Oryzias latipes: one gene and its partner. The protein of the gene in region 1 purifies or fractionates together with the protein of each later gene. This does not show direct contact. Links are inferred from orthologs where the notes say so. Each region holds a gene or a part of one and is shown on either strand. Other genes may lie near its edges.

The links.
Region 2: the proteins of dnmbp (region 1) and bin3 purify together in Homo sapiens (co-immunoprecipitation; 5 studies listed by BioGRID and IntAct, counting the BioPlex papers as one, with this or other methods). This does not show direct contact. The link is inferred for Oryzias latipes from reciprocal best matches to the Homo sapiens genes DNMBP and BIN3.

The regions. Positions count from the first base shown.
Region 1 is NC_019877.2:5,335,598-5,339,160, reverse strand, and holds part of dnmbp (dynamin-binding protein), read right to left. Parts: intron 3,511-3,563; coding exon 3,380-3,510; intron 3,301-3,379; coding exon 3,196-3,300; intron 2,464-3,195; coding exon 2,335-2,463; intron 2,256-2,334; coding exon 1,923-2,255; intron 1,671-1,922; coding exon 1,479-1,670; intron 1,406-1,478; coding exon 1,207-1,405; intron 385-1,206; coding exon 1-384. UniProt on the Homo sapiens protein: Plays a critical role as a guanine nucleotide exchange factor (GEF) for CDC42 in several intracellular processes associated with the actin and microtubule cytoskeleton.
Region 2 is NC_019867.2:16,934,983-16,939,333, forward strand, and holds the start of bin3 (bridging integrator 3), read left to right. Parts: upstream 1-1,505; 5' UTR 1,506-1,620; coding exon 1,621-1,628; intron 1,629-4,351. UniProt on the Homo sapiens protein: Involved in cytokinesis and septation where it has a role in the localization of F-actin.

The DNA of each region.
Region 1 (3,563 bases):
GCTCAGCGTCTCTGCGGCTGGGAGAGTTTCTGCGTTTCTGCTCTGAAAGGTCTCTGCGGTCTGAGCGAATTTGGGGCGAGGAGCTCATGGAGTTGCTCTGGCTGCCGGAATCGAGCGCGTCCCGGGGCTGGCTCCTGCGAGAGGAGGCGGAGTCCAGAGACGGGTGTGGGGACGACTGGCTTTGGGGCTGGGTGGTGGAAAAGCTGACGGTGGCCGTATCCTGGTTAAAGGTCAGGGTGCTGCTGCTGTTCTGGCGGGAGAAAACGGGGGAGGAGCCGCCATAACCGGACTCATTGGAGGACTGGCTCTCAATGGACACGTCCGAGTGGCTCCTGCGCGGGTTGTAGGGTTTGAGAAAAGAGCTGTACACAAACCCCTTTGTAACTGCAAGAAAGAAAAAGGCAGAAAAAGAAAATGAATTAAAGCCATAGGCCGCCACTCTCATTGGCTACCCAGCGCTACACACCCCTCACTCTCCCCTGCTGCCTCTGCCACCCTGGTCAGTGCTGAACATTCCTTTTCATTAAAAACAAATTGAAGGCTTTCTGTTGGCCTCAACTCCATAGCAACCATTTTATTTTTTGGTCACCTGGGGGTGACGAACAGATCAATGCAATTTTTAGAAGAATCGGCTAAAATAAATGTTTGAATTTCCTTGGCAACCAAGGTTTTTGGTTAACCACGCCCACATTCCTAATACGTTGAAGCCGTATGTCATGTCGTTTTGTTCAGCTTGAGCCATCGATTCATGTGTTACATTTTCGCAATATTCTCGAGCAACAGGGGAACGCCACTTTTGCGAGCTCACAATGCGAACGAACGCTGTTCAAAAAGGACAAACTTTAAAACCAACAATTTTTACCCAAGTAGCTTCCCAGAGATGCTCAAGGAGGTTAGGAGGCGATAGATTCAAATCCCTTGGAGGAGTCTCAATTTGTAGAAGGTACTAAAGATGGAGACCGATTACTGGGGTTAAAGGTCAACAAAATGTCAGCTGAGGTTGTAAGTCAGTGGTCCCATTTGTATTTTTGATGTTGACTTCCTGCTGTGACTTTGACTATGTGGCGGGGGTGAAATTTTCGCTCAAACGTACAGTTGGGCAAATAAAATTGCAAAAAACAATCTGATCCACGCCATCCAGGACTGCTGCGGGACGAACAGAGGACATTTTCCTTTTCTCCATGAAGTTCAGAAGAAATATTTTACCTCCGTTATCAATCAACCAGCGGTTTTGGCTCCCCATGGGGTCCTGCTGCTTGATCACGCCCACAAGATCCCCCTCCTGTATGGAAATATCCAGATCCTGGGCGGCGTTGAAGTTCCTCTCAGCCTGGAAAAGGTTCTCGGGGCCGTAGCGCACGAGCAGCGCCGTCCGGTGCTCATCTGTCTGCAGGCTGCAGTTAGGCTGAAGAAGATGGACAGTTCAGAGGAGAAACTTTTGAAAAGTATTCGAATATAAAGAAATCCTGGGAACTCACAGGTCCTTGAAGCTGCTTTTTGGAGGTCTGTTTGTCCAGAGTTTTCTTCTCCACTGGCTTTTTTGTGGACGTGGTGAGAGGCAGGTTTTCGGGGCAGAAGCTGAAGCTTTGGAGCAGTCGGAGGACGCAGTTGTACTCCTCCTGAAACTGTGCGATTAGGTTTCCACTCGTTGCCCCTTTGTTTGAAAACTGCTGAAACAAGAAAAGAACACAAGCAAAAATGAATATTTTCCTAGATATTTTGTTTTTTTTAAATATCTTAAACTTTTTGTTTTCCCATCTTCTTTCAGATTTTGCGTTAGTTTTTGTACTTTGATGAGCACTTTTCTGTCTCTTAAGTTTAAACGATTGTTTAGGCAAGCATTTTATAGTTTTGTTGCCTCATTTTCAATCATTTTTTTTGATGATTAACCGTATTTTCTCGGTCTGGTGGATTAATAATACCTGCAGGAGCGGCTTCAGTTCTTCCATCGTCGTCCTCATGAAGTCTTTCTGGGCCTGAGCGAAGGCCGTAACGCAGCCTAGGAACATCTCCTCTGCGGTCTGGAGGAACTTCGGCAGCTCGTCTAGAAGCTGAGCGTTCAGAGCCTCGTAGTTATTGCGTGCCGCCCGCAGCTCCTCCTGGACGCGGCGGTCCTTCAGGCGCTCAGCTCGCTCCTTGCAGTTGTCGTAGTCCAGCAGCTTGTCGAAGCGTTTCTGGATGAGTTTGTAAGGCCCGGCAAACATGGCGAGCAGCTGAGTCAGCGGGTTGATGACCAGAGCTTCTGTGCGTTCCTTCTGCTCAGAAGAACAGCAGAGGTGGAGGTGAGGTTGTTGTTTAAGCTGGTCGTGTGAAAGCAAAAAGATGAGGACTCACAAACTGGGTGAACTTTCTGTCGCTGATGCAGCGGTGAGCTCTCTGAAAACATTCGGGGTCCATCAAACTGCGCTCGTTGTAGATGTCGCAGAAACTGATGGCTGCCAAGACTTTGACCGAGGCAGATTCCTGCAAAGAAAAACGTTTCCGCATAAAAATCCCTCGCTAAAACACAGGGCTATAATAAAAGAAGAAAAATAGACAAACATATGAGACTAAAGTAATTAAATTGTAAGGAAAAAGTCGACATGTTACGAGAATAAAGTCATGAAATTATAAGAAAAAGTTCAAAATTTTACAAGAATAAAGTACTAAAATTCTCCTAAAATTTAGACTTTTTCCTCAACATTTAACAACTTTATTCTGGTAAATTGTTGCATTTTTTTCATAATTGTACAACTGTTTCACATAAATTGACTACTTCACCCTTATAAAAATTTAGAGTTTTTATCATAATTCTACGACTTTTTACTGGTAAATGTATTTTTTTAATAAATAATTTTACAAATTCTTGCTGATAATTTTAACTTTATTCTGGTAATTCTCAAATTTAAAAAATATTATAGTTTTTCCTCATAATTTTTTATGACTTTATAACTTTATATAACAACATTATTCTCTCATATTCTTCCCTATTTTGTTTGTCAAATTTTGTGTCAAAGGCAAAGGGTTATTGGATTTTTGTGATGGGCATGTTTCTTTATGTATCATGTATTTTGTCTTTCAGTGTCACATAAGCCCGTGTGGGCTGGGCACATTAGTGCATGACACTTAAATAAATAAAATCAATCAATCAATCAATCTTTCCTCTTTTGTGATTGTACTTCACACATTTTTTGTAGAAGAAAAGAGTTTCTTTACCCTTAAATGCTGCAGATATAAGGAAATGTCTCTGATAAACGTCTTGATCAGTCTCTCCTGCAGTCTGAACTTCTTTTCAGCCTCATCAAACACTTCATCCTTAAACTGGGAAAAAGATGAGGAGTTTTTAGAGCAAAACAAACCAAAATCACAAAGTCCAAAACCTTTTTTTTTTAATCCCTACCTGAGGTGCCATTCCTGTGAGCTGCTTGAGGTGGCTGCTGACACGGTTGGATTTCTTAATAATGGAGTGCATGCTCAGCTTGGAGATCTTGTCGATGAACGTGTCTTCATCCCCTTTTCTGTATTTCATCACTGTGCACAAAAAAAAATACATTTTGTCAACACTTTTATAACCACAGTACAAC
Region 2 (4,351 bases), on another chromosome or scaffold:
TGGTTGGTTTCAAGATTTTAATATTTGTTTTAGCCCAAGCTGTTCTCACAGCAATGGGAGAAAACCAATTGTTTATCAGTAAGAATTATTTTTGATTTACAACTGGCCCTAAGTTCATATAAAAAAAAAAGAACATTGTATCACTATTTCCCCAGATAAATGTCCAAATGAAATCACGTTATTACAAGCTTACATTTCGTCATTAGCCTGACTTTTGTTGACACCATTTTTGTTGTATAATTTTTGTAAATTATGTAAATATAAAACAATCTACTATATCTTATTTCTTTTATTCAGCATTTTTCCAGCAGTGCAATATTTGACAAATACCACAGATATGCATAAATACCCATTAAACTCAATACCTCTTCGATGTAATAAAAATACATTTGACAAAACACTTTTTCTTGGTCATGATTAAGAGACTGAATGTTTGAAATTTTGAATTTGTCCCATCCTCTCACCATTGGGTCAGCAGCCACCTTTGTGCCAAACTGGGTTGCAGGGTTGGCTGATCACAGACAATACATGTAGAAAAATCTAACAGGAGCAAAAAAAAAAAAAAAAAAAAAAAGACAGAAAGAAAGAAAAAATAAATCGTAAATATTTGCTTGTTTCTAAGGGCAGCCTTTGTTTTTAACCCTTTGATTTACATAAGAGAATGAATAAATATTGACCTCCGTAAGAATGGGAAAATAGAAAACTTTTATATCAATAACGATGTAGATATTTTAAGCAAATCATGTCATCTTATGGACTACAGGGTGGCTTCAGGGATTTTGTGGTCTTCAGCCGTGACATTGGTGTTAAAATGGAGTCGGTACTCACTGTTTTTTTGTTTTTTTCTTTTCTTTTTTTTGTTATGTTGTGTTTTCTTTTACTGACAATATACCCTCATGTTTGCATGTGCACGGAAATTTCCCAAAGTGCTACCTACCCTCTGCAGGTGGTCCTTATTTCTTTATTATGCATGAAAAAAGTCACTTTGGGTCAAATAGGACAAACATAACAACAATGCAAAACAGAAAACGATGGAACATACATTGGGATAACTGTTTAGTTGGCTTTTTTTTTCTTGTTAAGAAAAACAGTGGGTTTTGTTCAAATGTTTGGGATGTCTTTAGTTTATCTCATGTTTTTATTACCTTATAATAAGGTCCTTTTGCAACAAGAAATAGTTGTACAATATCCTTGTGGTTGGGGGGATGAGGTGCTCCCCTGTTTACATGACACTTCTGTTTGTTGTAATGCAATTGTTTTGTTATTTCTATGTAAGTACTTGAATAAAAAACATCACCTGACTTCAGTTTACTAAAAAGTCCTGACAAAAACGCGCACTAAAGTTCACGCGCGCACACGTAGATATTCAGAAATAAAAAATAATAAATATATACGTTGTCTCAGATATTATATATGTACATTATTTTTTTGTCATATATGATTTTGACTCCTATATGTGAAAACCTGATGTTAAAAGAAATCTTTTATTAGAGGAAACGTGAACGTCTGCGCTTTGGTTCACTTCCTGTTTGAAGCTCGAACGTCGAGTAGTACGAAAGGTATGTTTGCTGGGAAATAAAGAATACTGCTGGGCATAGAAGAATAAAAAGAACTCCCAAGATGAGCTGGTACGTATATAGAAGAATAGCTAATGTTTTGTTATATTTTGTAATATATTGTGGGTTATAATATCTGTGTTGAAGGACTTGCTTTTTTTCGTTTGGATCCGGCTAGTTCCTGGAAGTGCTACATAAACAGTACTTCAGACATGGAGTTAGCTTTAGCTTGTTACACTTGAGCTGTCAATCCGAAACTTTTCTTTAGTAATACTTTCGTAGATATTTGACTTGTGTACTTTGTAAAGAAAAAAGAAAAAGAAGAGCAGTTCCAACAGCTACACGATTGCCTCAAAAAAAGAAAGAAAAGAAGAAAAAGTCGTGTAGCTTCTTGCTAGACTTGTCAGGTGACGTTAGTACAACCTGTCAGTCACGTCCTTCAAAAATAGCTCTTCAAAAATGTTCCAAATGTTAATTGTTTCTCTATATGTTCGTATAATAAAGACGCAACGCTGTGCTTTAAGCCAAAAACATAGATTGTTGCTAAATCACAGGCTAGTAAACCTTTAAGGATGTGGTGTCACTGTCATGGCTACCACCTGAATCTTAACCTCTTGAATTTATTTGAGACTTAAGTTCCCTTAGTTTTTAACTATGGAAACCTACATTTAGCATTTAGTTATAAAAATAAGGATGAACTAAGTTTTACTTTGGTTTCCTTCGTTTATGTTATCTAAGTGATAATACACAAAACATTGAAAAGTATTAGATTTTTGCCACATTACGGTGTCTGGAAGTAAACAAGTAGTCTTTAATTCTATATCACTTTTTACATAGTAAAATAACAATAAATGGATATGTGAAGCATAACATTGGAACATGAAACCAAATGAAAGTTTTTACAATTGTTAAAGTTAAAGATCCAGTCCAATGAAAATCGTGTTCTTGGTGTGTTTTTTTTCATGTTCTTGTGGCATTTTTCTCATGATGGAGGACATGCAGACCGTCATCCTCACATACCCTGGAAGAAATTATGGAAAATATGAATGATAGCACAAAAACCTTTTTCCACTCATAGTTGGTGGTTGGGTGAAGTCATTTATTGTAAAAAATTTAAAAAATATATGTTTACCCTTTTTAAATCATTATGACAACAGAAACTTCCCAAATATTCTGTTCAAAAGTCTACATACCCTAATGATTTTGTTCTGAAAACATGCAGACAGATTGATACAAAAGAGTTTGAATGACAGCTAAGTTTGCCTGTAATCAATGTGTGTCCACAAAAGGTCTTGGAGTTTCTGAGCTCCCAACAAACCCTTGCATCCTTCATCCAGTGCTGCACTGACATTTCTGGATCCTTAGTCATGGGGAAAGCTGCAGAATGTGGCTTAAAAAGGGTAAACAGAATTATTTTTTACAGTAAATAGCTTCAACCAAACACTTACTATGAGTGGAAAAAGGGTTTTGTGTTATCATTCATATTCTTTGAAAAATGACGAAGAAATCATAGTTTCTTCCAGTGTATGTAAATCTATGAGCACAACTTTAAAGAAAATTAGATTTAAAATTGTAATTCTGAGTATTTCTTTATTTAAATCATTGGGAATCAGAAGCAGAAGAAAAAATGTAGTTTGAAAAAGCTTGTAGCAGTGTCGTAGGATCTACAATGGCAATCCACTAGCTCCCTGCTCCTCTCTATTTTGATGCATTCACTTGTAGACGACAAGATCCACATACTACTTTGTTTTCTTGGCCGAGCTGAGATCTGACTCCAAACTGTACGGCTGGATATCGTATTTTCACAACCATAGGGCGCACTGGATCATAGGGCGCAGTTTCAGTTATGGGTGATTTTTCTGTAGGAGCACCAGGTTTTAAGGCGCGGGCACGTTAACACATATCGGTAAAACACGCATGCAAGTGTGTGTTTTTAAAAAAGGCAGCTGGAGCAAAACTGAGTTGGTTGAGATTTATTTTTTTTTTTCAGTCAGCAATAATCCAAAATCCATCAAAGTCTTCATCTTCTGTATCTTAAATGAACAGCGGGGTTAAATTTCTGTCCAACACAGCAGGTTCCCTTTCGTTATTGTCAGAGTCCGTCTCGTTGCCGTGCGGCTTTAGTCGAATGGTGACTGTAGAGACGCTTCTCCCAGTTTTTCTCTGATCGTTCATCCATCGCTCGAGTCGGTCTTCTAACTCGGGCCACCTCGCCGTGTTTCCACAGAAACTCAGCTGCGTCTTCTTGACTTGTCGGAGTTCGTTTTCTAGCTTCCTCCACTTGCGAACTATATATTCATTAATTTTGAATTCTCTCGCAACTGCTCGATTCCCATGTGCCTAAGGTTGCAGTTTATACTGTGCTTCATAAGTGTGTCTCTTTGCAGGTGGCATTTTCAGGGTTTCCAAAACGATGTTCTGCATAATGCACATACCTGCACTTTAGTACTATTTGGGGGGGGGGGTCTTCTTCTTTCATGTCCTCACTTCCCTCCTTGCCGTTGTCATGCGTCATCTCCTATGTCCTCTTCACCGAAGGCACGCAACAACACATTAGGCGCACCACACCGTAGGGCACTCCGTACATTTTGGAGAAAATGTAAAACTTTTAGGTGCGCCTTATGGTCCTGAAAATACGGTAGTTCCAAAATTGCTTTCCTTTTTTGTTGCACCTGTAATGTTAGGATGGGGGTCCAAGGAGCTGTAAGCTAGCGGGGGAGAGTGTTAAAAAAGGGGTGATGGGAAATGGGGGAAGGCTTACTCCGTGGCAGCGGTCTTGCCCACAATTCAGAGGC